Macaca mulatta: one gene and its partners. The main gene of each other region encodes a partner of the protein of the gene in region 3 in a complex. Links are inferred from orthologs where the notes say so. Each region holds a gene or a part of one and is shown on either strand. Other genes may lie near its edges. The genes, in order: HJURP, NTMT1, CENPA and CENPC.

The links.
Region 1: the proteins of CENPA (region 3) and HJURP are in contact, whole or in part, in a crystal structure (PDB 3R45), measured with the Homo sapiens proteins. The link is inferred for Macaca mulatta from reciprocal best matches to the Homo sapiens genes CENPA and HJURP. Residues at the interface, in NP_001800.1 of Homo sapiens: Lys64, Leu65, Ser68, Arg69, Arg72, Asp83, Phe84, Asn85, Trp86, Gln87, Ala88, Gln89, Leu91, Leu92, Ala93, Glu96, Ala97, Ala100, Phe101, His104, Glu107, Asp108, Leu111, Leu112, Leu114, His115, Ile132, Glu136; in NP_060880.3 of Homo sapiens: Glu14, Asp15, Leu18, Lys21, Leu22, Ser25, Arg26, Arg28, Phe29, Arg32, Met33, Leu36, Lys39, Tyr40, Pro43, Phe44, Thr47, Pro48, Val49, Val50, Gln51, Met52, Ala53, Thr54, Leu55, Ile65, Trp66, Gly67.
Region 2: the proteins of CENPA (region 3) and NTMT1 are in contact, whole or in part, in a crystal structure (PDB 5CVD), measured with the Homo sapiens proteins. The link is inferred for Macaca mulatta from reciprocal best matches to the Homo sapiens genes CENPA and NTMT1. Residues at the interface, in NP_001800.1 of Homo sapiens: Gly2, Pro3, Arg4, Arg5, Arg6, Ser7; in NP_001273725.1 of Homo sapiens: Tyr19, Trp20, Met30, Leu31, Gly32, Tyr34, Ile37, Trp136, Asn168, Ile175, Asp177, Asp180, Asp212, Glu213, Ile214, Tyr215.
Region 4: CENPA (region 3) and CENPC share a complex: the UniProt entries of both Homo sapiens proteins name them as parts of the CENPA-NAC complex. The link is inferred for Macaca mulatta from reciprocal best matches to the Homo sapiens genes CENPA and CENPC.

Annotation. Positions count from the first base shown.
Region 1 is NC_133417.1:139,111,799-139,119,157, forward strand, and holds part of HJURP (Holliday junction recognition protein), read right to left. Parts: intron 6,174-7,359; coding exon 4,588-6,173; intron 1,678-4,587; coding exon 1,630-1,677; 3' UTR 1,601-1,629; intron 1-1,600. UniProt on the Homo sapiens protein: Centromeric protein that plays a central role in the incorporation and maintenance of histone H3-like variant CENPA at centromeres.
Region 2 is NC_133420.1:17,993,827-18,001,731, forward strand, and holds the start of NTMT1 (N-terminal Xaa-Pro-Lys N-methyltransferase 1), read right to left. Parts: upstream 4,352-7,905; 5' UTR 4,212-4,351; exon of another isoform or gene 4,102-4,211; intron 4,071-4,101; exon of another isoform or gene 3,969-4,070; intron 1,659-3,968; exon of another isoform or gene 169-1,658; intron 1-168. UniProt on the Homo sapiens protein: Distributive alpha-N-methyltransferase that methylates the N-terminus of target proteins containing the N-terminal motif [Ala/Gly/Pro/Ser]-Pro-Lys when the initiator Met is cleaved.
Region 3 is NC_133418.1:98,213,212-98,221,309, forward strand, and holds the start of CENPA (histone H3-like centromeric protein A), read right to left. Parts: upstream 4,528-8,098; 5' UTR 4,270-4,527; coding exon 4,176-4,269; intron 1-4,175. UniProt on the Homo sapiens protein: Histone H3-like nucleosomal protein that is specifically found in centromeric nucleosomes. Replaces conventional H3 in the nucleosome core of centromeric chromatin that serves as an assembly site for the inner kinetochore.
Region 4 is NC_133410.1:65,935,711-65,943,520, reverse strand, and holds the start of CENPC (centromere protein C), read right to left. Parts: upstream 4,040-7,810; 5' UTR 3,832-4,039; coding exon 3,814-3,831; intron 3,332-3,813; exon of another isoform or gene 3,222-3,331; intron 2,724-3,221; coding exon 2,677-2,723; intron 1-2,676. UniProt on the Homo sapiens protein: Component of the CENPA-NAC (nucleosome-associated) complex, a complex that plays a central role in assembly of kinetochore proteins, mitotic progression and chromosome segregation.

The DNA of each region.
Region 1 (7,359 bases), on a different chromosome or scaffold from region 3:
GAAGAGGAAAGGATGGGTCATGTTGTCCTTAGGAAGCAGCAGGCCTGAGGGAAGGCTCTAGATCTGTAGGGGCCATTCTGGCCCTGGCCCAGCCTGAGCCAGCATTACACTGCCGGCCTGTTCTTTGAGGAAATGAGCCGTCTGTGAGGTCTGCAGCACCTGGCCCGGTACTCAGCTCTCAACAGCGTGCACCCTCCTTACTGACTCACAGCCTGTGGACTGAACTGGGTCCCTCAGGTTCATATGATTAAGCCCTAGCCCCTGGCATGATGGTAGTATTGGAGATGGCGCTTTCTGGAGGTGATTAGGTTTAGATGAGGTCCTGAGTGAGGGGCCCTTATGATGGGATTAGTGCCCTCCTAAGACACCAGAGACCTTGCTCTCTCCAGCACGTGGGGACACAGCAGGAAGACAGCTTTCTGCAAGCCACGAAGAGTCCTCACCGGAGCCCAACTATCCTGGCTCCCTTGTCTTAAACTTCTAGTCTCCAAAAACTGTGAGAAAATAAATTTCTACTGTTGAAGCCACCTGGTCTCCAGCATTTTGTTATAGCAGCCTGAGGACGCAGGCGTGCGCGCGTGCACACGCGCATATTCACGCACACAACGTGGTCCCAGTGTAAGACATGGGGGGAAGGGATATGGGGTGGGGTAGGGAGGTGATATCGGACATCAGGAGAGTAATCGCCTGGGGAGGCAGGCAGGAATGAAAAATGTGTACCTCAATCTCATTTTTAATCTTTCATAAAAAAGCAACCCCAAACTCATATGGCAATATATTAACTACGCCAGCATGAGTTTCACCAGTGTATTCTGAATATGTGAACTATTTCACTACAAAAACGTCACCATGATATCCTGTCATCAACAGCTTCAATAAGAATCGTGAGGAGTCACAGGCGCTGTGGCTGCAGGAGTGTCTGGGACCACCAGGACTATTAATTTTCCCTCAAGGGTCATTGCATGCAGGGCTCAAACTTACGTCTCACAAGCAAACAATACTCTCAAATGACATGGGAAACAGGAAATTCTCTGGACATATCTAAATTTAAAAAAGAACACATGGCTGGGCGCAGTGGCTCACACCTATTATCCCAGCACTTTGGGAGGCTGAGGCGGGTGGATCACGAGGCCAGGAGTTCAAGACCAGCCTGGCCAATATGGTGAAACTATGTCTCTACTGAAACTACAAAAATTAGCCAGGCGTGGTAGTGTGCGCCTGTATTCCAGCTACTTGGGAGGCTGACACAGAAGAATCGCTTGAACCGAGGCGGCGGAGGTTGCAGTGAGCTGAGATTGCGCCACTGCACTGCAGCCTGGGCGACAGAGAGACTGTCTCAAAAACAAGCAAGCAAACAAAACCCCCCAAAAACGCACACATTAGAAAAACAGGCCTATCAAAGAGAACCCTAAGAATTCTAACTGAGCAACTTTATTCACATAATTTCTACACCAAGAACTCGAGGGCCATCTCTGATGGAGCCAATTTCACTAATATTTGCTTTAAGGGCAGAGAAGTCAACCAAGTCCTCAGTCTCAAGAATTAAAAACAAAAATACAAACAGAGAGCAAGTGGGAAGAGAAATAACACTCAAAATTACCTAGCTGCACACTTTTAGTTTTGATTTTTCTAGCACAAAATCACTTCTCTTCCATCCTGTAAGACGTGTTCTTTCCTCTAGGGAAAAAAAAGACAAAGAAAATGATGTTAGCAAAATTCTAGTAGAATTCCCAACGCCAGCCACTAAAAGGTTAACTGTTTTCCACTTACTCCATTGCATGTATAAAAATACTTACAGAAAATTACGTTAAGTAAGTTATGTTAAAGAAACAACAAAAATATAATGGCGACCCCCCCACGCCGCCCCCCACACTCCCCCAGGGAGCACAAGCTGGTGGGAAAGTCCACATCCCACACCCTGGCCCAGCTAGCGCCGCTGCGCGAGTGAATTTAGGAGTTCTAGGATTTAAGCTACTTTTCTGTATCTATTAAAAGGAGAGACAGCCTGCCTATTGGACAGAATCGATCTAATCAAGGGGTTCTGGTGGGGATTAAAGATAAGGCGTAAAAATGGTTCAGCATGACCTGGCACACAGAGAGCACTGAGATGTTAGGCATGAAAACTCCATATGTAGTTGTAGCTCATGAAGATTTGGTCTCTTTCCTCAAGAAATTTATCATTTAAGCAGAAAAGCAGAAAAACATAGGAAACCAGTTACACGTTTATACTGTGGTTTAAAAAAAAACCTGGGGTGCTCATGATTTGACTTGCTGTCAAATTCCAGGGCAGCTGGGAGCGCCCTCAGGATGGTCTACTCCCCAGCCCCACAATAATGCAGCCTCACACCATTCCCCGCAAGGCCGAGGTCCCTCCTGTGTGGCTGGGCCAGAAGAAAGCCCTTTAAGGCTGAGCAGGTGAAAAAACAAGACAGGAGCCTCTGCACGGAGCACTGGGGCAGGACGTCACACATGGAAAGGGGTCTGCAGGCGACTGGCACGGTGCCAGCAGATCACAGAACAAGGTGGGAAAAGGCACGAGACAGAATCCCAGGGCAGGATGATGGTAAATGGAAGAGCTGGGGCACTACCTGAGAAAAAAGTTAGGTTTAGACAGGCAGGGCGAGCAGAGCAGAGGAGCTCTGATGTGCGGGAGGCAGGAGAAACCTCGGATCACTCTCTGGGCCGGAGAGTTGTTTTTGGTGAAATGCTCCCCTTTCAACTGAGAAAGAGACTCTTGAGAGGTCATCTGTTAAACAGAACGCATAGGCTTCGCTCTCAAAGCAGCCTCCACGAAGTGTCTGCCATGAAGATGCGGCTGAGATTCTCGAAGGCTTCACTAACTGGGGCTCAAAGCCACCCAGCCAGTGGTTTGTTCTGAAAAAGCCATGTGGGCACAGGAATGGGGCATCAGGCACACAGTTGGAGACCAAGACCCGAGGGAAAGACTCTGCTGTTAGCCAGGCCCTGCCCACACAGTGCCTGACCCTAGCCAGGCCCTGCAGAGAAAAACCCTTCCCATCACCTGAACACATATGTATGTCCATCCTCAACTGGGAAGACAGATGACAACAGAGGGCTTGTTTCATCTGCTCCTGGTTAGTTCACACAGTATGACTTTATACATGAAAATAACTTTGAAAACCAAGACACCCAACAAAACCTGGGAGCTTCTAGAACTGAGCCAAGGAGCCTGAGCTGCTAACCTACGAGACTGGCCCGTGTCCAGACAGCTCCTCACTGCAGCACCCACCATGTGGTGGGAGGGTGGGGGTCACCTGCACAGAGCAGGCAGCTGAGCGGTGGGTGGAGTCTGGGGAGGACGTCTGGGGATGCAATAGCAAAGAACCAGGTAGTAGCGGGAGAATGCCAGTGAAAGTTCCCTGGAAGGGAAGGGCTGTCCCACGGCAGACCCTGGAGCGGGTGGCCCTGCAGCAGTCCAAGGGCATTGGGAAGACAGAGTCACAGTGAGAAAGGCGTCAGGCGGCTCAAGTCACAGGAGGCCGCTGGTGGTCTGAGAGTGTGGTCTCTGCCATGCACAGGCCGGACTGCAGGCTGTGAAGGCAGGCGCCACAGAAGGAACAAGGCATGCCAGACCTTGGTTCTGAGCTGGACGGATGGCAGGAGCCAGCAGCTGAGAAGGGCTCACAGGCCAGGCGGGCCCAGGTGGGAGAAACAGAAAATGGGACATTTATGACAGGCAGCGTCCACGCAAATGACCTCAAAGAGGCACATCGCCAGGGTAGGGCACAAGGGAAGAAGATACTGGAGACACAGCCTCACCTGCTGGAACCACAAACACACAAAACCCAAAGGAACTGGCCAAATCAAACCCACAGTCAAGTCCTGTCCACCTGTGGGTGAGCTGTGGCACTGAGCTTAAAAAGTCGCATCCTCTAGATCCTGGCTGTGGACACACAGACAAGCTGTGCTGGGGAATCCAGGCCTTAATGCCAACAAAGGTACCCACTCACACTGACCTACCCCACCGCACTGTCGCTCGAGAAAAGGGCACACGCAGACTCAAACTCTAGCTGGCGTGATTCGCACAAATGAAGCTGCAGAGCGAGGTGCAGAAGTTTTCACGCCGAGCACTGAGGCGACCTGCAGGGCACCGCTCACGCCTGTGGGAATGCCATGCTCATGGCTCTCCCGGGCCACTCGTGCTCTGTCCCCACCAGGAGTCCCGAAATAGACAGGAAGTCATTTGCTTTAGAACACTTCTGCCTTCCAACGCTATTTTCTGAGTGTCAGATGAAGAGGTTAGAAATCAACGTTCGACAAAGACGAACAAAGTGTAGTAAGTGAGGATTTGTAGAAAACCACCTGTGAGTGCATTCTAGTGGAAAGCATGCGATGCAAGAGCGTCTTCTGCTCAACCTCGATGCATCTTGCACAGGAACATGTTCTCGATATAGACGATTTTACAGGAAGGAAAAGCATTTGGGAGAATGCTCGGAAAATGATCACGAATGTAAGAATTCGGTTGAGATTCACTAAAAGGGGCACAAAGGTTCCCACCATAAAAACCCTCTGTCCAAAGAGGAGTCACTCACATAAAACACCCACGTTCAACCAACAGAAACGCACCTTCCTCTCTTCTGAGTTGGGCTGTGAAGAGCTGCCCTGGTCTCCCGGTCTTACGATGTTGACTACCCCATCTGAGGCACCCTGGGAACTGGCCTGGCATCCAGAGCCCTGGGGGTCTGACAGCCTGGGTCTTTTTGCAGGGAAATGATGGTCCCTCTTGGTGGCACGAGCAACACATGTAGATGAATGAGCCTCAATTGCAGTTGAGCCCAGTAGACTTTTTCTGCACCCCAGGGGTGATGATGGCAACTTCTGGAAACCCTGGAAGTGAGGGTCTGGATTTAATTTTCCTAAGAAGCCTTCTGTTTGATACCGAACTTCCATACTTGCTTTACCTGTAGACACTCCAATACATGAAGGCGCCTTCATCTGCTCAGGAGATCTGAGGCAGTACTTTTGATGAAGCTTGTCAAATTCTTCTTTAATTTCATCATAACGATTCCTTCTGTGGCCTAGCACTTCTTTGTCTGGGCCTGAAAGAGTTTTGATGGGTGACACTGACTTTCTAAATATTCCAGAACTGTTCCCTTGAACGTGAAGATCAGAGGTCTGTTGCGGGCGAGCTGGGCTGTGTGTGGGGTTGGCCTTTGGAAGTGAAGAAGAATTGCTCTTGGGCAGGCACCTACCTGATTTCAGAGATCCTTTGGCCAGGTTTTCAAAAGCCTCGCTTAAACTTCTTGCTTTTGCTTTGCTGGAAGGTAAACTCAGCTTGCAGGTTTCTAAGCCCTGAAGGCCACCAGGACTCGCAGGACCCCCTTTGTACACGTTCATGGCCCAGGAGTCTGGGAGGCCCATCTGGGGAGGCTGGTTCCTGGGACTCAAGCAATATTCCCGATGAAGCTGATCAAATCGCGTTTCAATCTCCCTCTGACGGTTCTCTCTATGGCCCTGTTGTATTCTTGGTCTGGAAACTATTTTTACAGGAGAAATTAACCATTTTAATGTCCTAAATCTATCTTCCTGATCAAGATTATACGTTGCACTGGAGTTGAAATAAATCAAGGAAGAATACTTCGAGGGTGTCACTTTCAGCTCCTTCCAACTTGGATCTAACTTATGGATTTGGGGTTTGTTGACTTCAAGAAAAGCTTTTTCCAATTTTAAACCTGTCGTATGGCAAGGAACATCTAATACGTTCTTGCAATCTCTGATTGCTCCTGTGTCTTTCACAGGCTCACAGCAGGGTACAAAGTTCTCCTTGGAGCTCCTCTGAGAACGTCTGGCTCCTTTGCAATACGTTTTGTTCATCCTGCTCTTACCTCTGTGCCTGCTCCTGGAGTTCCAGTTTTGCATGATGAACGTTTTGGTGGAGATGATGCTTGATGGCTTTGTGCTCAACAGGCGGCTCATGGAGTGCAGCATCCCTGCGTACAGGTCACTGATGGTCACGTTGCAAATGTCATCGTCTTCAAAGTGCTGGCTGCTTAAGAAGCTGCTGCTACTGGTCTCTTGCAGGGAAAGGCTGTCATTTCTAGGTACTAAGGCCATGTCTGTGGAGGAAGGATGTGAAGGATCCCATTCTCTGGGAGATGAAGCTGGTTTTGCTGGGTCACCAGGACTCTTTCCAGAGACACGACTGTAGTATCCTGGGAGAAAAGATACACATAAAGTAAAGGTGTGTTACCATTCTAAACCATCCATGTGCACAGATGACAGAACTTAAGATTGGATCAGGACTATGTTTTTTTAAGCAATAGCAAAAACAAAAACACCACAAATGTGTAGGAGTAGACTCTTCTCAGAGATATTTTTTGCTATCAAAATTTGATTTCTACTCTCCATCGTACATTTCCCAAAGGTGTCTTCCTTTGCTTCTAGGCTGTTTAGAAGATGGATGCCTTTGCAGAAGCTAATTAGAAACTGAAAAATGACAACGCCGTTTACCTACAGGGATGGGAAGGGGCGTAAGACTTCTAAACAAACATCTTCATATAGCTTTGACTTTTGCATCATGTTAAATGTTTCCTATATGTAACCAACAATGATGGGGAAAAACCATAAAATTGAACACAAACAGAAAAAGAAAATTTGTATGTTACATTGACAACTGAAAGAGAAAAAAGAGTCCAAATATGCTGAATGTCTGCCTCTTAAAGAGATATTGTCTAGGAATAAAAAGAGCTGCTTGGAAATGTTGAAGCTTACTTAGCACATGGTTGTGAAGAGTGGTAGCAGGTGCCGCAATGCTAGAGTTATTTTGTGCTGCACGATTGACCAGATGAGCGCGTGTTAAGTCATTGTGGCTGGTGAGAACAGGGAGAGGAAAATACGGCGTCAGGGCAGGGGTGAAGAAATGCTCAAAAAATCATGGGGTTGCACCACACGACACAAAAGCCAGACTGAAAGGGGCTCCCTGACAGCTAAATCTGGGACTACTTGAGTGTCAGATTGAATACTGGCAATGGATTATAACATGGGAATCAAAGAACAAGAAGACTCAATGAATTCCTACTGATCCTAAAAAGTAAAAATAAATCAAAGCATGAGAGGGCACTACAGGAAGCAAAAAAAAAAAAAAAAAGGACCAGAGGGGAGATAGCTCTTTTCAACAGAATGCCAACTGACGTGTGCCAAGGAAGAGCAGAGACAGAAACAACCTGGGCGGGGACCTCCACCCAGGAAATCCACATTGCTGGCTTCTAAGTCACTGGGTGAGAAGTTTTTAGAGAAAAGGTTCCTAAGAGATCTCAAAGAATCACACAAATGACTACAAGGAAAAAGGGCCTGTCGCAATGAGAAACATTGAATTAAGGTCTTACCTGAACTCAATGA
Region 2 (7,905 bases), on a different chromosome or scaffold from region 3:
GGCGCCATGGCTCACGCCTGTAATCCCAGCACTTTGGGAGGCCGAGGCAGGCGGATCATGAGGTCAGGAGATCGAGATCATCCTGGCTAACACAGTGAAACTCTGTTTCTACTAAAAATACAAAAAAATTAGCCGGGCACGGTGGCGCGCACCTGTAGTCCCAGCTACTCGGGAGGCTGAGGCAGGAGAATGGCCTGAACACAGGAGGTGGAGCTTGCCATGAGCCAAGATCGCGCCACTGCATTCCAGCCTGGGCGACAGAGCAAGACTCCGTATCCAAAAAAAAAAAAAAAAAAAGACGACTTCTAACGGATGCAATTCTCCTTCTGTAACTGGTCAGCCTTTTCCGGAGACCCAGCCAGCCAGTGGGGGCAACAGGGAAAGGCCTGTTGTGGCTGCTGAGAACAGAGGGGACGGGGTCCCTCCTCTCCAACACCGTGCCTGACTCCTTCAGCAGATTTGAGCTTTCTTCACTGACAAAGTCACACGCCAGCTTTCTGAGGGTCCAGAGAGAGCTGACAAGACCCATGTGCTCTACCGGGGCCCGGTTCTTCTTAGATCCGTGATTGGGTCTTTTCACCCTCAGCAGAACCCTTTGGCTGTGCCTAGAGAAGTCTACTTAAACCTCTCTTCAGATTCTTGTTTTTTTGAGATGGGGTCTTGCTATGTGGCCCAGGCTGGCCTCAAACTCCCGGGCTCAGGCCATCCTCCCTATTCAGCCTCCCAAGTAGCTGAGATTACAGGCGTATGACACTGGGCCTGGCTTCCCTCTTCAGATTCTTGAATCCACTCGCAGACTGACCCCTCACTTTACCGTTCACACACAGGGTTTGGGCCACAATGAAGAAAGGCAGCCATCACTGCACCAATCAGGGAGCCCTTTGGGGTAACAGGCTGGGGAGGACCTTAGTTCTACTTATTGCACATAACACCTTCCCCGCAAGCTGACCACAGAGCTCCCACACTGGTCTCCCAGCACTGGGAACAACACTGCTGGAAGGAGAAAGCAGCCTATGGCTCAGAAACCCGTCTCTATCAAAAACACACACATTCTAGTACCTCCCAGCTACTAGGGAGGCTGAGGTGGGAGGATCACTTGAGCCTGGGAGGTCAAGGCTGCAGTGAGCCATGATCCTGCCTCTGCATTCCAGTCTGGGCAACAGAGTGAGACAGTGTGTCAAAAAAAGAAGAATTAATTCTTGTTCCCACCAGACCTGCCAATCCTCAAGACTGCTAGATCTGCCATGGTGGCTGACGGGGAAAAGGGCCACCAACCTGAATGTCACCATGTAGCCGGGTTTGGTGGCTGCTATGGTCTGACGGGGTAAGGACCAGGTCAGGTGGGCTGCCTGCCCCTCTGCCAGCAGGCACCAGAGCAACCATGTCACAGCCCTCCATCAGTCACTCAGAGAGGATGGCATTCAAAACTACAGCTGGGTGCAGTGGCTCATGCCTATAATCTGAGCACTTTGGGAGGCTGAGGTGGGAAGACTGCTTGAGCACAGGAGTTTGAGTCCAGCCTAGACAAGAGCGAGACCCTGTCTCAAAAAATAAAAAACACTTGGTGGCTGGGAAAATTAAAGACAAAGGTTAAAAAACGAAATACTACTCTTCCACACCATGCTAGCACAACTCCCATTCAGACTGGAGCACGGCGAGAGCAAGCCCGTCTCCCTCTCACCACCCACCAGTCTTGGTAAACTGAAGGTTTTGTATCCAGTTCTATCTCTCGCCTGGCCTGGGAGCTCCTAGAGAGCAATGGCAACATTTGAGATTTATCACTATGCTTCTCTTGCATCCCACGAAACACAGATATTCAACAGAAAGTTAATCTCTGATCAAATGAACAGAATAAATCTGAGGGCAAACGCGTATCGATTAGACCAGTGCCTGACACCAGGTGGGCACTGACTAATTGGTTGCCAAATAATACAATGGGCTTTGTGCAGCTATAGCCATTTTCCACTTCTAAGAAAATCCTACAGACAAAAGTCCAACCATTCAAAACTGGTAATACTGAAGGCTGTTACCGACAACATAATTTTGTGCTTTACCAAAAGCCTTGTAACATGATTCCTTTAAATGTCAGGGTCCCCCAAATAATCTAATTTACAAGAATTCCACCTACACGCAAATTCTAGGAAAAAGCCAGGGGAGGCACATATTGGCAGGGAAATAGCGAGCCTGACTTTGACATTTGTCCTAACAGCTGATTCATTAATAAATGGGATTCCTAGGGTCCTGGCTACATTCTGTCCAGATTGCAGTGGGGCAGGAGGAGGTCCCTAAGAGTCCGAGGGAACAGCAAGGTCGGTCGGCCAACAGCAGGAGGTCCTGCTACACTCTGCTCCAGAGGACAGATGCCATGTGGCTGCAGGGCCTGGGAGGAGGCCAGGAGCACCCTGGCTTTGTGTGAACTCTAGGCTAGCTCAGAGAGGAAGAGAAACCCCTCACGCCTGGTAAATGCCTGCTCAGCCAGTAAATGTGATCCTACATCCTTCACGGTCACCTAGCTGCTGCCTCCTCCTCCCCGCCAAGGTGTTCAGACCCACGCAGCTGCCCCAGTTACTGCGTCTCTTCTCCCACGACCCATGGAAGAAAACGGTGCTGAAACTGTCACCGGCAGACTTTTGCAGTCATCTCATCCTACTCATGTTAAGTCTCTACGGAAAAGCCTGCCTAAAAGTGACCTCCACCCTCTAGCAGCCTACAGGACAGAACCCATCCTCCCTGGATCTTTGTGGACAGCAGCAGGCCACATGCAAATGGCAGAGTGCTCTAAGAAAAGGAAAGAAGGGAAAAAGGGAGGGAAGAAGACAAAACAGGGGATACATTTAAAAACTAACAAAGACTCTGATGGAGTCGGATGAACCAGATCTGAATCTTGGCTCTGCTCACCAGCTGTGTTAAGCTCAGATAAGACATCAAACCTCACCATTCCTCAGTTCATCTATAAAATGGAGCAGTAATACCGACTTTACAGAAAGCCTGTGATTAAAAGTGCACACGAAAAGCTTAAAGTGCTTTGCACAGTGCCAGGCACATATTCTCTCTTGAGCTTAGAAATTCTCCGTCAAACGAGATTCTTGTCAACTCTGCGCACTATGAGGATCAAATGGGAAAAGTGCCTTAGAATGCCATAGAAGCTGTACTGTTGGACACACCTAGGGGACTGTTACTGGTATGCTGGGCGGCCAATCCAGCAGACTCAAACAGCTCTGCAAATCAGCCAGAGTGAGGAGTGAGCTTCCTCTGTCTGTAAGCACAGAACCCCCACCGAGATTTTTTAGATGCTATCTTTGTGATCCCAGGGCTTCCGGCCTCCACCAAAACACTCCATGCGTTACTTCCAACCCCCACGCAGTCCTCAGTTTACAGAGAGAAAAACCAGCACACTAAAGGAAACGATGTGTCTTTAAACATACGAACAGGAAGCCGAGAACAGAATTAAGGAGGGATTCCAGGCTCCTTATCCCAGCCCTGGTTCCTCCCAGAGGCTCATCCCATCTCACTGGGCAATCATTCTACACACCACAACCACCGGTTACACTGTCCCTCCCCGCTGTCAGGGCCTCTGACACCAGCTGTGGCAATCACTTAACAATAGAGAGGAGAAACCGAAGTCCAGAGAGAGAGATCACACAGTTGGTGGGCAGCAAAGCCTGGGCTTTTCGATATGGCAGCCTCCCTGCAGACAGGCTGACCTTGGCCGCAAGGGTTCTGGGGGTGTCTTTTTTGAGCTGCACCTGTGTCGGGCTGGCGCTGGGGCGGGACCCAAGGTTAAATACGACGGCAACTTCTGTGCAACGGGCACTTCACTGTGCCAGGCTCTGAACTGGGCATTTTACCGATTCCTCCCATCCATCCTCCGAGTGGGCGCTCTCCATATCCCTGTTTCTCGGAGGGGAAACAGGCTCAGAGAAAGGGATTTGCTGCGGTCTGGGGACCCGGGTGGGGGAGTGCCCTGCCTGGGCTTTGAGTGCCTTGACTTTCCTCCTGTACCCCAACCCATGGACTGACTGCTCCGTAGTCCCTGCCCAGGTCCGGCCCGTGGACCGCTTGGGAACGCGCACGTGGGGCCCGTGCCGGCCCTCGCGCACGCGCCGGGTCACGTGACGAGCCGGGGCCCACAGGGCGCCGAAGCAGTTAGGGGTCGCGGCCTCCCCTCTCCCGGCGGCTGCCTACCCTTCGCACCGCCTCGCGCTACTCACTCCGCGCGGGGGCTCCCGGGACCGAGAGAAGAAGATGGGGAAGAGGAAGGGAGGGCGGCAGCGGCGGAGACCCCACAAGGTAACCGCAGCTCCGCCACACCACGACCAGACGCGACAGCTCGCGGCGCGCGCTGCCTTTGTCCGCTAACGTCACTTCCGGGCGTTTAGGGGCGGGGCCACGGCTGGCCCCACCTCCTCGTTCAGCTCGCCCCCCTCCCGCGGGCTCCGGATTTAGCCTGACTTCTTTTGAAAAATAATTTAACTTAATTTTTTTTTTTTTTTAAATTGAGACAGAATCTTGCTCTGTCAACCAGGCTGGAGTGCAGTGGCGCGATCTTGGCTCACTGCAACCTCCGCCTCCCAGGTTCCAGCGATTCTCCTGCCTCTGCCTCCAGAGTAGCTGGGACTACAGGTGTGAGCTACCACACCCAGCTAATTTTTGTATTTTTAGTAGAGACGGGTTTTCACCATGTTGGCCAGGCTGGTTGCGAACTCCTGACTTCAAGTCATCCTCCCGCCTCTGCCTTCCGAAGTATTGGGATTATAGGCGTAAGCCACTGCGCCCAGCCTAATTTGACTGACTGCCTTCCTTCCTTCCTTCTTTCCTCCCTTCCTCCCTCCCTCCCTCCCTCCTTTCCTTCCTTCCTTTCCTTCCTTCCCTTCCCTTCCTTCCTTCCTTCCCTCCCTCCCTCCCTCCTTCCTTCCTTCCCTCCCTCCCTCCTTCCTTCCTTCCTTCCTTCCCTCCCTCCCTCCCTCCTTCCTTCCTTCCTTCCTTCCTTCCTTCCGAGACGGAGGCTCGCTCTGTTGCCCAGGCTGGAGTGCAGTGGCCTATCTCAGCTCACTGCAAGCTCAGTCTCCCGGGTTCCCACCATTCTCCTCCCTCAGCCTCCCAAGTAGCTGGGACTACAGGCGCCCGCCACCACGCCCAGCTAATTTTTTTTGTATTTTTAAAGTAGAGATGGGGTTTCACCGTGTTAGTCAGGATGGTCTCGATCTTCTGACCTCGTCATCCGCCCGCCCCGGCCTCCCAGAATGCTAGGATTACAGGCGTGAGCCACCGCGCCCGGCCTAATTTGACTTCTTTAAAAAAAAAATTAGAGACGGGGTCTCACCCTGTTGCCCAGGCTGATCTTGAATCCTGGCCTCAAGCAAGGCTTCCACTTTGGCCTCCCAGACTGCTGGGATTACAAGCGTGAGCCACCGCGCCCAACACAGGTTACAGCTCAAAACTTGACTAAATTGACTTTTGGGAATCTGGAAGGACCTCCCGAACTGAAAAGAGCCGCGGCGTTGCCCTCTCTTCATCCCCATCACGAACAACAGTTCGTTTGGAGGCTGCAGGCTGGGCTTTGAGTAAGAAGGGGAAAAAAGCCATTGGTCCTCAAATCCACCCATCTCCATTAGCATCTTAAAATAATACCGACCCCCCAAAAATAAATAAAATAAAAAATACTCTTGGCAGTGCCATGGGATTCCCACCCAAATAAGCAGAACAAGCCCATGAAATTTCCATTCCAAAAGCATGGCCCTTCCCTCGGCTCCTCCCATGCAAAGAAATTCTGGAGCTATCTCCGAGGCAGCAGTGATGGAAACACGAGCTTGCAGGTGGGTAGAGCCTGTTAACATCTCCGAGCTTCAGTCTCCTGCCAGAAGAAGTGGAGCAATGTAATCATTACTCAACTTCTGATGCTCTGAGAGGATTAAACTTGTGGGACACTGCACACCAGACCTTCAGCTCAGCACCTGCAGTGGGTTCTCAGGAAATGGAAGCTATTATAATGACAATATTCACCCTAAGGTCATTTTTCCTAAACTATTAATAACATCCTGGTTTTGGCAGGGTGCAGTGGTGCACAACTGTAACCCCAGCATTCTGGGATGCCAAGGCGGGCAGATCACCTGAGGTCAGGAGTTTGAAACCAGCCTGGCCAACATGGCAAAACCCCGTCTCTACTAAAAATACAAAATTAGCCAGACGTGGTGGTGCATGCCTGCAGTCCCAGCTACTCGGGAGGCTGAAGCAGGAGAATCGCCTGAACCTGGGAGGTGGAGGTTGCAATGAGCCTAGATCACACCATTGCTTTCCAGCCTGGGTGACAAGAGCAAAACTCCATCTCAAAAATAAATAAAATAATAATATTCTGGTGTTAGGTTTCCAATGCCTTCCTCTGAGCAGTGCACACAGAAGGTGCTTAAAGTGTGTTTGCTCTAAATGTACTGAAAGCTACGGGAGAAAGGGGATGCCAAAAAGCCACATCTGCATTGAGTCCGCAGAACGTGTGTATGTGCATATTATTTGGCATCCCTTCTAGACTATTCTAGGTCCTAACTGCTACCCCTGGTCTGAGCAAGCTTCATTTTCTGTGTCTCTACGCAAAGGAATTGATCCTGGGCAATTTCAATTGCTGGGGGTGTCTGGAATCCTCCACCAGGGGGCAGCTCTGGTCCAAACTCTGCATGCCTAAAAATCCAGCCCTATCTTATTTCCTGTCAACAGAAGAGCAAGCCCCTTCCCCACACCCAGACTCCAAGGCCTTCCCAGGGCTGGCCAGCTCCCTGACCTCAAAGCCTCTGGCATCTCTGAATTCCCAAGCCTAGCACATAGTAGTTGCTTGATAAATGATTGCAGAGTGCAAGGTCTGGAGGGCTCTTTAGAAACATCTAGTTAGGCCGGGTGTGGTGGCTCATGCCTGTAATCCCAGCACTTTGGGAGACCGAGGCGGGTGGATCACGAGGTCAGGAGATTGAGACAGGAGATTGAGACCATCCTGACTAACACGGTGAAACCCCATCTCTACTAAAAATACAAAAAAATTAGCTGGGTGTGGTGGCGGGCACCTGTAATCCCAGCTACTCGGGAGGCTGAGGCAGGAGAATGGCGTGAACCTGGGAGGCAGAGCTTGCAGTGAGCCAAGATCACGCCACTGCACTCCAGCCTGGCTGACGGAGCGAGACTCCGTCTCAAAAAAAAACAAAAACAAAAAACCATCTAGTTAATCTGGTGTTTCTCAGCCATTAAAAAAAGTCACATACCCTTTAAATAAATACAAAAATATCTCCCTCCCCCACTCAATATTGTAGCTCTCCAAGAAAGTATGTCCCTCCATCCCTGGTGAGAAGCATTGACAGAAAATAGAATACATCTTTGGCGATGTGTCCTCTAGTGAGTCACTCTGTTATTTGAATTACAAAGTCGTTTCTTCATTTTCAAATTATGAAACTATGCCATGCCAGTGAAATACTCATGTAAATGACCTTTGTCTCCCACCCCAGCTTCACAATACTCTATGAGCTTCCTCTCGGCCCTCTCCCAGCCAAGACTCAGAGATAAGGCCCAGGGAGTCCTGAGAAAAAAGACACTTCTCCAGTATCACACAGCAAAACAGCAGACCATGGACTTGAAAGTGGGTATGTTAATTTCTTTCTTCTCTTCTCTTCTCTTCTCTTCTCTTCTCTTCTCTTCTCTTCTCTTTTCCTTTCTGGAGATGGAGTCTCACTCTGTAGGCTGGAGTGCAGTGGCGCGATCTCAGCTCACTGCAACCTCTGCCTCCCGGGTTCAAGCAATTCTCCTGCCTCAGCCCCCCAAGTAGCTGGGACTACAGGCACACGCTGCCACACCTGGCTAATTTTTTTGTATTTTAGTAGAGACGGGGTTTCACCATGTGGCCCAGGCTGGTTACGAACTCCCAAGCTC
Region 3 (8,098 bases):
CAGCCGGCAGAGAAGATCATCCCTGGGTGAGGCTAGGGAACATAAGCCAATGAAACAGGGCAGTGTCCAGGAGACTGGTGACATTTAAAAGAGGGAGGACCCATACCCAGGAGACGAGCTACTGACACCTCCCTCCCTCCCCACCACCAGTTGGCAATCCAGTCACTGGAGGCAGTCTTTAATAAACAGACATAGGGCTGGGTGCGGTGGCTCATGCCTGTAATCCAGCACTTTGGAAGGCCAAGGTGGGTGAATCACCTGAGGTCAGGAGTTCGAGACCAGCCTGACTAACATGGAGAAACCCATCTCTACTAAAAATACAAAAATTAGCTGTGCGGGGTGGCGGGCACCTGTAATCCCAGCTACTTGGAAGGCTGAGGCAGGAGAATCGCTTGAACCCAGGAGGTGGAGGCTGCAGTGGGCTGAGCTTGCATCGTTGTACTCCAGCCTGGGCAACAAGAGCAAGACTCCGTCACAAACAAAAATAAATAAATAAAATAAAAAAATAAACAAGACATAGCATTCACAGAAAATGTGAAGATGAACACAACTAAAGATCACCCAACAATTTAAGAAGGCCAATACCATGAAAGAAAGGAACCAAACTCAACAAACAAAATAACCAATACCAGACGAAATTGAGTTAATAGAGAAAAGAGATAGAAACCTCGAGAGAAAAATGGATAACAATCTCAGAGAGGTAACAGAGATATGAAATCCATGAACCAAGGACAAGTGGTTCTGAAAAGTAACCAATTAGAGAGATCATGGAAAAGAACTGGGATCAAAAATTTAGTAGTTGGGTCTTGAAATGCCAACATGAAGAGATGGAATTTAATCCTAATGTAAGAAGAAGCCAGGGAAGAGTTTTAAGCAGAATAGAGATGTTGAAGGTCACTCCAGCTGCTGTGTAAGGAAAGAAGTGGAAAGGGACAGAGTGGAAGTGGATTAGCAGCTGATTAGGGGGCTCTCACAGTTGCTCTTGAGAGACGCTGGTGGCTTGGACTAGGGTAGTGGGAGCAGAGATGGTGAAAATGGAGTGATTAAGGAGCAGTTTGGAAGTAGAATTATCTGGACTTGCATTTGTATTGGAGATGGTGGTCTCCCAGGCTTGTGGTTTGAACAACTGGGTGGGTAGTTGTGCCATTTACTGAAATGGGCAAACTGAGGATGAAGGGGCTGGAGGGGAGTAACCAGAAGTTCAGTTCTGGGTGTGTTAAGTTTAACATAACCACGAGCCTTCAGATAGAAAGGCAGTTAGATATAGGTATCTGGGGTTAGAGGAGAGATCCAGGTATACATAAATTTGAGAGCTGTCAATGTAAATCTCGGTGGGATTTAGAGCCACTGAGGAGATGAGACCATCTAGGGAGGGGGTAGAAAGGAAAAGAATGTCAAGGAAGTCCAACATCAAGGAGTGGAGGGAGGCAGCACAAGCAGTAAAGAACACTAAGCAGAACTGCCAGAGTGCACAGTGGCATGGAAGCCAAGGGAACAGAATGCTTCAAGGAGAAAGAGGCCCACTGCATCAAATGCTTCTGAGACACAGTAAGAACACAGACCCGCCTACTGGATTTGGCACTACAAAAGGTGCTGGTGACCCTGACAGGAGTAGTTCAAGCAAATTAGAAGTGGGATACTGGTTGTGGGGAGTCAGATTGGAGTGGGTTGTAGGGTCACTAGGAAGTGAGGAATCAGACGCAATGTATGTGGACCTAACAAGTCTGGCTGTTTTAAAAGGAGAGCTATGAAGGGAAATAGAGAGAAATGGGAGGTATAGGGAAGTGAGAATGTGGGGTCAAGGAAACACCCCTGCCCTTTCTCTTAAGATCATAAATATGGTTGGGAGCGGTGGCTCACACCTGTAATCCCAGCACTCTGGGAGGCCAAGGCAGGCGGATCACTTGAGGTTGGCAGTTGGAGACCAGCCTGACCAACATGGTGAAACCCCATCTCTACTAAAAATACAAAATTAGCCAGATGTGGTGGCGCATGCCTGTAATTCCAGCTACTCGGAAGGCTGAGGCAGGAGAATCACTTGAACCCAAGATGTGGAGGTTGCGGTAAGCCGAGATCACCGTTGCTCTCTAGACTGGGCAACAAGAGGGAAACTCTGCCTCAAAAAAAAAAAAAAAAAAAAAGATCATAAATACTAGAGCACATGTGCCAATGCCAGTGTTAAGTGTCTGGATTTATCTAAGCACAGGTAGAAAGCTCCTTTGTAGGTGAAAGAAGGATATGACCAAGACCCCATGTAGAAGGAGGAAGAGCTTTGATAGGAAGGGGGACACCTAGTCAAGGCCATCATTGGCTAAGAGTAGGGGGAATGGAGCTGTAGGAAGTCGAGGAAGGAGAAAAAGGTATGAAATAGTCATGGGGAGAATGGAAAAGCAAGAATTCCAGACAAAGGGCAGGCACGATGGCTTTTCTTTGTAGAGACAAAACAATTTGTCTCTACAAAAAAGCTTTAAAAATAGTCAAGCATGGTGGTGCACATGTCATCCTAGCTATTCGGGAGGCTGAAGCAAGAGGATTGCATGAGCCCAGGAGGTCAAGGCCGCAATGAGCCAAGATAGCACCACTGCACTACAGCCTGGACGACAGAGTGAGACTCCGTCTCTAAAACTGAAGAAAGAATACCAGACAAAGGTGGTAGGACTGCCAAGAAGTGTTGACTGCCCATTTGAGATAAACCTTCCATTTGATCAGGAGTAGAAGGATGCTTCTACCTTGGAAAGCAACAGCAAACATCATACTTCATATTCCCGTTAAAATTACAAATAAGACAAAGATGGCCAAAACACCACTCTTAGTGAGTCTCAGGGCCTTACTAATACCATACAATAAGAAATAAAATGTTTAGAGACGAAAATGAAAGATTCTAAAGTTATGTGCAGATGACATAATAGTCTACTTAAAAATTTCAATTGAAGCAACTAAAAGAGACTAGGATGAACGAGAAGTCAGCAAGTTGGCTGGATGCAAAGGTTAAATGCTTGTGTTTTGGGAAAGAAAAAAAATCCCATCCGCAACAGCAACATCTAGAAACAACCTACTCCAGCCTAGGCAACATGGCAAAACCCCATCTCTACTAAAAATACAAAAAATTAGCCGGCATGGTGGCATATGCCTGTAGTTTCAGCTACTCGGGAGGCTGAGGTGGGAGAATCACCTGAGCCTGGGAAGTTGAGGCTGCAGTGAGCCCTGATGGCATCACTGCACTCCAGCCTGGGCGATAGGTCTCAAAAAAACACAAAAAAACAAAAAGCCTATAGGCACAGTGGCTCATGCCTGTAATCCCAGCACTTTGGGAGGCCCAGGCAGGAGGATCACTTGAGGATCACCAGGAGTTTGAGACGAGCCTGGGTAACATAGGGAGACCGAGTCTCTATAAAAAACAATGAAACAGACAAACTCTACAATACACTTCCCATCTTCTTCCTAGCTATGCAGCAAGAGTTAAGAGATAAGTAAAGCAGCTGTTGCCACCGTGTACCACACAGGCATCTGCCTCCTCCTGCCCTTGGGTCTCCCATCCACCAGCCTACCACACAGACAATGAAGACACAGACTTTGGCCCCTCTTTCCCCGGACACAAGCTCTGGAACGCAACAGCGTGAGCAGCGCAGAAGGCCTCGGTTCGAGGCCTAAGAGCCTGTCCCGGAAGGGGAAAAAAAACCTGAAAGACACCTCCTAAGAGGACTCCTGTTTGAAATCGTCACCGAAAGCAGTCAATACTTGTGCAATCTAAAAATGCACAAACACAGAGGATTGGAAATCCCGTGTCCGCCAGAACAAGTTGTGTGACTCTGCTCAAGCTCCCTGGCTTGTGCCTTGGCTTTCTCATTAGCTGTAAAATGGGCACGATATGAAGCTGAGATAACGCACGAACAGTGGGACGCAATGCCTGGTTGGCGGTGGGCGCTGGGTAACCGCTAGTCCTAACAAGAAGACGGCGTTAGGGGCCAAGTGGCTGCGCCGGTCCCTTCACGCTTTCGGAACCGCTTGCTCCAGTCCCTCGCAGGGCTGCCACCGCCCGTGCCCGGAGCGGATGCCAGACGGCGGAACCGCGTTGTCCCCCAGCAGGGAAGGCCACGGGATCGGGATTCGGGAGATCCGGGCTCCGCCTGCGAGCCTCGGTTTTCTCCTCTACGAGATGGGCCGCGGCCAGTTACCTAAGGAGGGGCCCCGCCGGGAGGGGCCGGGGGTCGGGCTCGGGCTGCGCCTTCTCGGGGCCTCGGGCTTGCGGCTCCGGCGGCGCGGGCCCATGTCACGCCGCGGAGGGTGCCGGCGCCCGGCCCCACGGCTCCTGCTCGGGCGGCCGGGTCCGGGGGCGAAAGGCTGGCTTCTGGGGAGCCCAGAGAACGCTGGGCCGCGAGCCTCACAGGAGCCGGTGCTTGGCCGCAGTCCGCGCCGCTCGCGTTCAAATCGCTCGCTCCGCCCACTTCACCGCCGGCGTTTTTTAAAACCCGAATCCAGCGACTTCCAGTGGCTGACTCTGGAACGCCCCTTACGTAGAGCGACTGCAGGTAGGACCAATGAGAGTATGAACAAATAGCGGCGATGGTAGGAGGATAGGGGCGACTGATGGTAAAATCAACCAATAGACACCTAAAGAAGTAAGAGGGGGCGGGAAATTCTCCTGCCCCTGCTTGCCAATCTGGGTGCTGGTGTTTGCGGGACCGTACTGACGTCCTCAGGTGCCCTCCAGTCAAAACACCGAAGCTCAGTTCGGAACGTAGATGGTGTGTTTGTAGCACGTGCTTTTCTAGACAAGTCACTTTCCTTAAACATTTTATGCTTTGCCCTAGCAACGCAGAGACGACTTTTAAAGACGAGGAAACAGACCCACAGAGAATGTGACAACCCCATGTCGTGTCTGCGACCCTTCCAGGAATTATCCACAAATACACTCAGAAGCCAGTTCAACTGCGTGAACTTCAACTGCTGATCCTTGGGGTCGCGGGGACGGCGGGATCAGCGGAGCTTGGGTTCCGGCAGGGCAGGCCTCGGCACTATAGCAACGCAATCGTCCCAGAAAAACGCTCACTTCCCTTTGTTGGGGATAATAAAAATTCAAGTCCTGTCCCAGTATGTAGAGTAAGGAGAATTTTAATTTTCTAAATTTTATTTCTTGCATTTTCTAAATGTAGTACAGTGAACATGTAATCAGGAAAAAAGTTAGTTATAAAATTAGTGATTTCATGGAACCCTTGTGCATTGCTGGTGGGAGTGTAAAATGCTGCGGCTGCTGTGAAAAATAGTATTGGTGGTTCCTCAAAAAATCAAAAATAGAATTACCAGATGATCCAGTAATTCCACTTCTGGCTAAATATCCAAAAGAATTTAAATATAGCCAGGGACTTGAACAGATATTCTCACACCCGTGTTGATAGCGGCATTCTTCACAACAGCCCGAAGGCAGAAACAGCCTGAATGCCCATCAACAGATGTATGGATAAACAAAATGGGGCGTATACCACAATGGGAATTCTGACACCTGCTGCAACATAGATGAACCTTGAGGACGTTATGCTAAGTGAAATAAGGCAGTCCACCAAGGGACAAATGCTGGGCCGGGGTGCGGTGGTTCACACCTGTAATCCCAGCACTTTGGGAGGCCGAGCTGTTCAGATCCCTTGAGTTTGAATCCAACCTGGCCAACATGGCGAAACCCCATCTTGCCGAGTGTGGTGGCTCACGCCTGTAATCCCAGCACTTTGGGAGGCCGAGGCCGGCGGATCACCCGAGGTCAGGAGTTCAAGACCAGCCTGGCCAACATGGCGATACCCCGTCTCTATTAAAAATACAAAAACTAGCCAGGTGTTGTGGCGCACACCTGTAATCCCAGCTACTTGGGAGGCTGAGGCAGAACTGCTTGAACCCGAAAGGCGGAGGTTGCAACGAGCTGAGATTGTGCTACTGCACTCCAGCCTAGGTGACAAGAGCGAGACTCTGTCTCCAAAAAAAAAAAAAAAAAAAAAAAAAAACACAAAAGAGAAAAAGAAGAAAGAAACCCCACCTCTAACAAAGATACAAAAAAAAAAAAAAAAAAAATTAGCCTGGGCATAGAGGTGCACACCTGTTGCCCCAGCTATTCAGGAGGCTGAGGTGGGAGGATCACTCAAGTCCAGGAAGTTGAGGCTGAACTGAGCCATGATTGTGCCACTGCACTCCAGCCTGGGCCACAGAGTGAGACCTGTCTCAAAAAAAAAAAAAAAGGACAAGGCTGGGAGTGGTGGCTCATGCCTGTATAATCCCAGCACTTTGGGAGGCTGAGGCCAGTGGATCATGAGATCAGGAGATTGAGACCATCCTGGCTAACATGGTGAAAACCCACCTCTACTAAAAATACAAAAAATTAGCAGGGGGTGGTGGCACGCATCTGTAGTCCCAGCTGCTCGGGAGGCTGAGGCAGAATTGCTTGAACCTGGGAGCAGGAGGTTGCAGTGAGCTGAGATTGTGCCACTGCACTCCAGCCTGGGCAACAGAGCAAGACTGTCTCAAAAAAAAAAAAAAAAAAAAAAAAAAAAAAAAAAAAAAAAGGACAAATACTGTATGAGGTACCTGCAATAATTGAACTCAGAGACAGAAAGTAAAATGGTGGTTGCCAGTGAGTGGGGGAGGAATGGGGAGTTAGTATTTAATAGGTGGAGAGTTTTAGTTTGAGAAGATGAAAAATTCTGGATATGGATGGTGGTGATGGTTGCACAACACTATGAATGTGCTTAATGCCATTAACTGTACACTTAAAACTGGTTAAAATGGTAAATTCTATGTTTTGTGCATGTGTGTATATACATACACACACACACACACACACACACACACACGCGTTTCCCCCCACCCCCCCAACAGGATCTTGCATCATTGCCTAGGCTGGAGTATAGTGGTGCAGTCAGAGCTAACTGCAGCCTTGAACTGCTGGACTCATGCAGTCCTCCCACTTCAGCCTCCTGAGTAGCTGGGACTAATAGGAATGCACCATCACGCTTGGCTAATTTTTTAAAAAACATTTTGTAGGCTGGGTGCAGTGGCTCAGGTCTGTTATCCCAGCACTTTGGAAGGCTGAGGTAGGTAGATCACTTGTGGTCAGGAGTTGAGGTCAGAGACCAGTCTGGCCAACATGGTGAGATCCTATCTCTACTAAAAATACAAAAATTAGCCAGGCGTGGTGGTGTGTGCCTGTAGACCCAGCTACTCAGGAGGCTGTAGCAGGAGAATCGCTTGACCCCAGGAGGAAGAGGTTGCAGGGAGCCAAGATCATGTCATTGCATCCCAGCCTGGGCAACAGAGAGAGACTCTGTCTCTAAAAAATAAAAAAAATAAGTTTCCCAAGTGCCCTGGTAACTCTGGCTTATCATATAGCCCTTATTATACAGTCATGTATCTATAATAAAGGCATTATATAGTTCCCATGCTTAACAATGGGGATATGCTCTGAGAAATGTGTTGTTAGACGACTTTGTCATTGTGCAGTCATAAAGTATACTTACATAAACCTAGATGGTATAGTGTACTCACACCTTGGCTATATGGTATAGCCTACTGCTCCTAGGCTACAAACCTGTGCAGCATGTTCCTGTACTGAATACTGTAGGCAACTGTAATGCAATGGTATTTGTGTATCTAAACATATCTAACCTAGAAAAGGTACAGTAAAAAACAGTATAAAAAATGGGCTGGGTGCACTGGCTCACCCCTGTAATCCTAACACTTTGGAAGGCCAAGGCAGGAGCATTGTTTGAGCCTGGTAGTTAGAGATCAGTGTGGGCAACGTGGTGAGACCCCATCTCCACAGGAAAAAAAAAAAATTAGCTGGGCATGGTGGTGCATGCCTGTAGTGCCAGCTACTTGGGAGGCTGAGGCAGGAGGATTGCTTGAGCCCAGGAGTTTAAGGCTACAGTGAGATAGGATCATACCACTGCACTCCAGTGAGAGCAACAGAGCAAGACTCTGTCTCTAAAAAGAAAAATTTTCCTTCTTCAATAATAAATTACCCTTAGCTTAATGTAACATTTTAACTTTATAAGCTTTTTAACTTTAAAATTTGACTCTTTTGTAATAACATTTAGCTTAAAACACACACTGTGCAAGT
Region 4 (7,810 bases), on a different chromosome or scaffold from region 3:
TGATTAATCTTAAGTTTATGAATCAGTATAAATTTTAATTAAAAATTATATTGAGCTTGTAGATTCACACACAGCTATACAACATAATAGAGATCCCTTGTTCACTTTACCTAGTTCTCCTCAGTGCTAATATTTTGCAAAACTATAGCATATCATCACAATCAGGATACTGATACTGATAAAATCTACCAATGCTATTCTGATTTCTTCAGTTCTACATGTACTCATTTCTGAATATACTCATGTTTGTATTTATTTCTACACAATGTATCACATCTGTAAGTTCAGATAAAACAACCAGAGTCAAGATACTGAATAGTTCCATCATCACAAAGATCCTCTATTGTCCTTTTGTAACCATAACCACCTTCCTCTCATCTCCTTCCTGCCTCCTCTCATTCCCACCTCTGGCAACTACTAATCTGTCCTCCATTTCTAAAATTCTGTCATTTGGAAAAAATTATATGTAACTAGAATCATACAGTACGTATCCTTTGGCCTTGGCTTTTTTCACTCAACACAATTCTATGGAAATCAATCCAAGTTGAATGTATCAATATTTCATTGCTATTTAGAGTCAAGTAGTGTTCCATGCTATATGTGTACCACAGTGTTTAACCATTTACCTGTTGAAGAACATCTGGATTTCAATCAGTAAAAAACTGACATGCATCTCTAACAGGGTGGGCAAACTTTTGCTTAAAGGGCCAGATGGTAAATATTTTAGGCTTGTAAACAATAGTTTCTGTCACAACCAGTCGACTCTCCCATTCTAGCCCGAAAGCAATCACAGACAGTATGTAAAGAGGCATGGCTGTGTTCCAATAAAAAAATTGAAACAAAACCTGTGACAAAACATTTGGCTGGCCTATCAGCCAGAATTTACTGATCCCTGATCTACAACATTCCTATTATTCTTGAGAGCTCGAAAAGTACTATATATGCAGTAAAGATTGTGAGCCACAGTGCATTATCAGGTCATCCGTCATAAAGTTTCATAACTGAAAGATCTCAGATATCATCCAGTCCAATAATTATCCAAATAGATGCATAAGTTACTTTTGGAACTTTGCAGAAATACACATAATTGGTCACTTCCTAGAGACCAATTTAATCAGATTTCCTAGGGTGACGGAGATAATTCTGAGGTGCAAATCTAGTTAAAAACCACTAGGCTGAATCCTATGCCCTCATTTTGCAGACAGGCTAACTGCAATCCAAAATGGTCAAATGGCCTACCTCAGTTTGTAAACCTAATTAGTATTAGTGGCCGGTTTTCTACCAGAATATATATATAGCTGACTGTTACAAATTCTGGCCTTGACACCACCCCAAAATACCACCTACAGCTATAAATACACTCCTACTATTACCTATTTCAAGGAGGAGATCCAGAAACATCAGATTTTCCAAGGTGATAATGCAGAGTCACTATTAGAACACAGGTCACATTAGTCTAGGCAACAGCTTTTTCAAAATTTATCAAATTCATCTTTTCTTCCCCCTTGTCATTATTACCTTAGCATAAAAGCACCTCCATCAAGTCTAGATTACTATAACCCCTTCCTTAAGCTACTCTGTAAACATCAAACATCTTTGCTTTTTTAAATGTGTGTGTGTGTTTACATCAGATAGCCCTTATTCCACAGAAGATTTAGGACAGCTTATTCAAACCTATAATAGATACCTAAGCCTAACATATCCATTTTATGGCTCAATCCAACTCATATGGTCTTGTTTTCCACTTCTACCCAACATATTCAACCTTCTTAAATCAGGTTTCTGCTACCGACAAATGTATGTGTTCCTACTTTGGTTCCTTTGCTAAGTTACTTTCTATGTCTGGAATGAACTTTATCTTAGTCTTTAAATACCTAACCTATTCAAGGTCCACCAAAGTTACACTACAACTTTAAAGCTTTTCTTAATATCAACAACACAGAATTCCCTAATTTCTCACATGGCTGTCTATACTGCAAGTTAATGCCTAATTATATATAGGCGTACTCTCTCTGACACACAAGTCATTACTTCAGTATTATAAGTACTAATTTTTGTCCATTAAAGTATTTCACAAATGTACATATACATCTTCCCAATAGAAATGAAAGCTTCTTGGAAGCAAAATAACATACTTCTGTGCCCTATCGGACCTACTAAAATCACAGCTCAATAAACAAGATGTTATTCAAATAACATCTTCACTTTTAAGAACATGCTTTTCATCCTATTACTAGTAAATATTTAACTAGAAAATTTACTTTTTACAGGTTTTACAACTAAAAGAAGGACCAAAACAACCCAAATAAGCATCCAACAAATAAATGCATGATAGCATGTATTATTTTTGTTTTTGCCCCACTGAATAAGCTACATCCTTCTAATTTTACCATTTGATTCATTCTACAAAATGCTTTTCCCATGGCAGTCACTTAGTCAGAACTGAGATTCCCTCTTCCTGTTTCCACTATTTTATCAGGTGAATTTCTTTTTTCACAGCCACAAAGTCATTGCACTGCTTGCATTAACATTCCGTTAGTATAAGATGACTACCCTTAATCAGTGGGCATAGAAATCATTATTTTAGTCACAGGTGATAGTTTTTCCTTTCTTCATTTAAAAATCTATTAACGATGAGAATAAAAATAATCTTAAAAGCTTAAGTATATAAATCACCTGGAAGGTCGACAAAATCTTCTTCTGTAGCCATTTTTGAGATGATCCTGAAAGAAAAGTAAATCATCCATTTGGTTTAAGATATAGCAGAATAAAATTTATTTTCAAAGTAACTTCATCCAGCATGGGCATGCTATACACCAAATATCTCCTAAGGGCTCAAAACAATTCTAAGGTTATGATAGGCATTTAAAAATTGAACGGCCGGCATCTGGTAAGCTTTATTCCGCTTCTCTCCCCACAGTGAGAATGGCTTTATTGCTTTTTTCTGATTATATATAATGTAAACAATATATGTGCTCATAGTAAAAAGTCTAGATTATATTATTCTTTCATACAACTCTTTATGTTTATATGTATAACGTCACACAATGGGAGATCATCGAAGCTGAAGAAGAGGAGATAAATTAGAAAAGAAATGATACGGGTTTGATATAGCAACCATAACCAAAGTATGAAATATAGAATAGTGAACACCAAAGAAGTCCAGAAATATGTAAACAAAATATGAGTTGCCGCCCCCATTAGTCATTTACAGCTTGTACCTTTTAACTAATAGCTGTCTTTAAGAACACTGTCGATAACTGATGCTCCATAAATCAGCCTCAAGAACTGCATATAAGGCCACCATTTTGACAGAAGAACTGAAAACGTCAAACTATTTCGGGACATACTTGTTACATAATCTGTTTCTCCCAACTAGCAAGTGTGACGCAAAGGCACATTTTTAAGGCGTTTCAATACTTCTACCATGGGGAGAAAAGTATTTGGAGGACTAGGAACTGGAGCTAGACTAAAAAGCAGACGCCAAGATCGCGCCACTGCACTCCAGCCTGGGGGATAGAGCAAGACTCCGTCTCGAAAAAACACCCCAACAGAAATCACAAGCACCTCTCAAGAGTAAGACGCAGGCACAGACGAAGACACGAAAACTTAAGAAATAATAAAAGTACAGTAAATTAACTCCGATTATCGATACACGATCACACTTGATTTCAAAAATTCCTCCGGCTTTCCCACTGAAATCCCTCATGGACCACAGCCCCAGCCTAGCCTTTCCTTCTCCCCCTCCTCGGGCGCCCGTGTCCCCAGCCAGCCGCTCAACCGCTTGCCTGGAGCGCGAGGGCCCGCACTTACCAGACCCGACGCAGCCATGTTCCGGCCCCGCTGAGCCAGCGCAGGGGTCTGAGGTGGAAGCCCACACGGAGCACAACTCCAGGAGGCCGAGCAAGAAATGAACCGCCAGACTACCAGGCGGCGGCCAAGCAACACCCCTAAGTCGAAGAGGACGGCCGGGAGCGCTGGGATCCGGAAGGCGCGCGCTAACAACACTTCCCCGCCATCAGCTCCGCCCTCAAAAAACAAGAACGCTCGGCGCCTGCATGGGTTTGAACCCAGCCGCACATGCGCAAAACGGGCTGCGCCGTCCAATAGGAAGCAAGCGGTTAGTGAGCTCGCCCCTTCTTGCTCTAAGCCAATGGCCCTCCCGCCCGCAGCTCCGCCCGCCCTATCTCTAGCTGCTCTGCTCTTCCCACCTCCCTTCCACAGCGCCGCGTCGGGGACAGGCGCGAGAGTGGGCCTTTATTTGGAAGGCGCGGTCCTGGGAACCGCTCCTTGTGCCCAATGTAAAACTTCTCAACAGTTCTATTAAAGAATAATAAGTAATACTTGGAAGGATGAGAGGTAGAAATTGAAGACTTTTTTTTTAACAGAATCTTTTTGAAGAGATTTTTCTAATGCAAATTCGTCAGCCACGCCCAACCCATCTAACCATCATCTCTGAAAATAATTGAATAATTATGTGTAATAATGGTGATGATGGCTTGTATTCTTTTTCAAGTATGTGGGTGATGTTTTTATGATGCATTGCCAACAAATGACCCACGTAAATAGCTATCATTTAAGTATGATGCACTGAAAAGAATTCTATACAGAATCCTGAAACCTGCCAGCCAATGACTAGCTGTGTTATGGGGAGAAAAATTTCGGCACCATTCTGGGTGTTTCCATAGTGATAGAATGGAAGTCTAACTTAGACGCTCTGAAGACTTCTCACCTGACCAGTGTATGATTCTATGAAGCTGTGTCTTATTTTATTATTTAATTTAAAATTACAAGAAAATTCTAATCAGAAAGTAGTTTACTCATTGAATAAATACATTAATCAGGAGTTGAGCTAATAGATTTTTAAAACATGTAGTGCTTTAATAAATGCTGTCACCTATGAAAGCCAATTTTTTATTTTATTTATTTTTTTTGATAGGAAAGAAAGAGGAACTATGAACTCTGACAGAAATTAGGCCTAGATTGCACTCCATTCCATTAATTCTGCCATTATGGGCAACTAAGTTATCTGTTCCTTAATTCTCTTGTCTGCAAAATGAGAATAATATTAAGTGGTTGAGATGTTGTAATTGAATAATTCCTGTTAAGATCTACACACAATGTTTGGAACAGAGTAAGAATTCAATAATAAAGCTATTGGAATCATTATGGAGACACTTTTACTATGTTTGGCAGTTTTGCCAATCAGTCCACATGATATATAATTTGGTACTATCACATTTGGAATAGATAGTAATAAACACTAACATTTATTGAGTGCATACTCTATGCCCAGTTCTGTAAATGCTTCGCATGCATTGAAGAGAACAATTAATATTCCTGTTTTATAAACAAGGGCACTGAAACACAGAGAGGTAAGTGTCTTGCCCAAGATCACATCACCACTAAATGGTAGGATGGGATATTATCCCAAGAATTCTGACTCCACAACTGAGCTCTTAATCACTACACTCTTTGCCTCTGGGTAAGAAATTTTAGCAAGCACACTTATAGATGTAAAGTCCCATATGTAAAATTATATCCTCCTGCTTCCACTGGAAACTAAGTCCCACAGAGGGTTTTGAGAAATTTGAAATGCAATGGCTTGTGCTGCTGTAGAATGCAGGCCACACAGGGTGCTGAGGATGAACTGTTCTAAAGAAAATGGAGCAGCACTCCTATAAAAACAGTTATGGAGACGCCACAGTTTCCAGACAAACGTTTTACTTCCATATTGTTGTAGTGCTTAGTAGCCCCACCATGGTTTTAGTATCCTAAAATAGGATTGCTAATTAATGGGGGGAGTAATATTTATTTAAAAACCCAGGTTTGTCTTTATAAATCTCCCCCCAAAATACATCAAGATTACTTCTTATGAGCTGCTAATGCAATCTTGAAGTTTCTTTCACAACTACTTACCTAGTTAAGGGGGTGTGTGTGTGTGTGTGTACTTACATATCAGTATATGGAAGTATTAACATATACATAATTAGATGTGTATATGGGAACATAAAGTATCCAGAAATTTGTCTTGAAAGAGAAGCAAAAAAACTTTTCATTATTTATGGTTTTAGGTAGATAATTTAAAATTTGTAAATATTAAAATTATTTCAAAGAATATTTTGTTTTAGATCTTTGATTTCCATCAAACAATTATGGTATGAGTATTTACTATCAACGTGTCTTCCGTTAAGTGTTAGCACAAAAATATTCACAACTGAACTAACCACTTAAAAATTAGTCTGTATTCATTCCCATCCCACAAATGTACCTCAATGAAGTGCAATACTCTTCAGCAATAAAAGCAAACTACTGATGTACAATATGGATGAATCTTGAAAGCATTGTACTAAGTGAAAGAAGCTGGATATCAATGACTGTATGAAAAGAAGTCAAATCAATGGTTACCAGGGGTTGAGGAGGGTGGGGGAAAAAGGCTATAAAGGAATACGAGGGAACTTTTTGTAGTGCTGAAAATATTCTATGTCTTGATTATGATGGTAGTTACATGGCTATATCTATTTGTCAAAATTCCTAGTTAGAACTGTGCCCCTGAAAAAAGGTGACTTTTTTTTTTTTTAACAAGAAAGATCTTGCTCAGTCGCCCAGGCTGGAGTACAGTGGCACAATCAAGGCCCACTGCAGCCTCGACCTCCTGGGCTAAAATGATTCTCCTGCCTCAGCCTCCTGAATACCTGGGACCACAGGCATGCACCACCACACCCTGCTAATTTTTTTTTTTTTAATTTTTTGTAGAGATGGGATCTTCCTATGTTGCTCAAGCTGGTCTTGAACTCTTGGGCTCAAGTGATCCTCTGGCTTCTGCCTCCCAATTGCTGGGATTACAGGAATGAGCCACCACACCTGGCCAAAATAGTGACTTTTGCAATAAATTATACCTCAGTAAATCTGTGAGAGAGATAACGCAAGAGAGAAAGAGAAAATGAGAGAGACTCAAAGGCACTGTATGAAAACCAAATGCAATGTGTAAACTTTGATTAGAGTCTAGTTCAAAACAAAGTAACTGTAAAGAGCATTAAGCAATAAGTGAAAATGAAAAATTTAATTTTCAGATGATATTAGAGAATTGTAAAGTTTTCTTAGGTATTATAATGTGATTATATTTATGTAATTTGTCATTACTCTTAGGATATGCATATCAAAGTATTTAGGGGTAAAATGTCTTGTGATATTTGTAAGCACTTTGAAATTGTTAATCATAAAGAGATTTAGTTAAATAAATATGGAAAAATGTTAATTATTGAACTTAGTTCATTGGTATGTTTATTAACATTACTCTTTCAGTTTCTCTGTATATTTGAAATATTTCATAGAAAAATGATGAGGAAACTTGACCTTAATGAAATTGCTTAAGTTCTAAAAACTTTTGCAAAAACATTTATTATTTATTCTGCAAAAGTCAAAAGTGAAAATATTAGCAAATGATTATCATACAATTTTGTCAGAAAAATTATACATGAAAAATGAATTTTTTCTAAAAAGTATAGCATAGTTGCAATTATAACAATATTTGCTAAGATAAAAGAGACTTATTTTTATGATTTTGGTTTTTTTTATAATGTAATTTTTTTTTCTTTTACTCCTTACTGCCAAATGTTGGTCCCTCTGTTAAGGAGATTCATTTAAGTATCCTTTTCTGATAAAAAATTATCCTCCAATAGAAATGCTATCTATGCTATGTAGATCATAATGGAAAAGTTAATAAAGTGTGCTTGCAATGTACAGGTAGGTGGCAGCAATGTTTACAAAAACAGTTTTACAATGCTATAAGTTGTTAAGGTCTGCAATG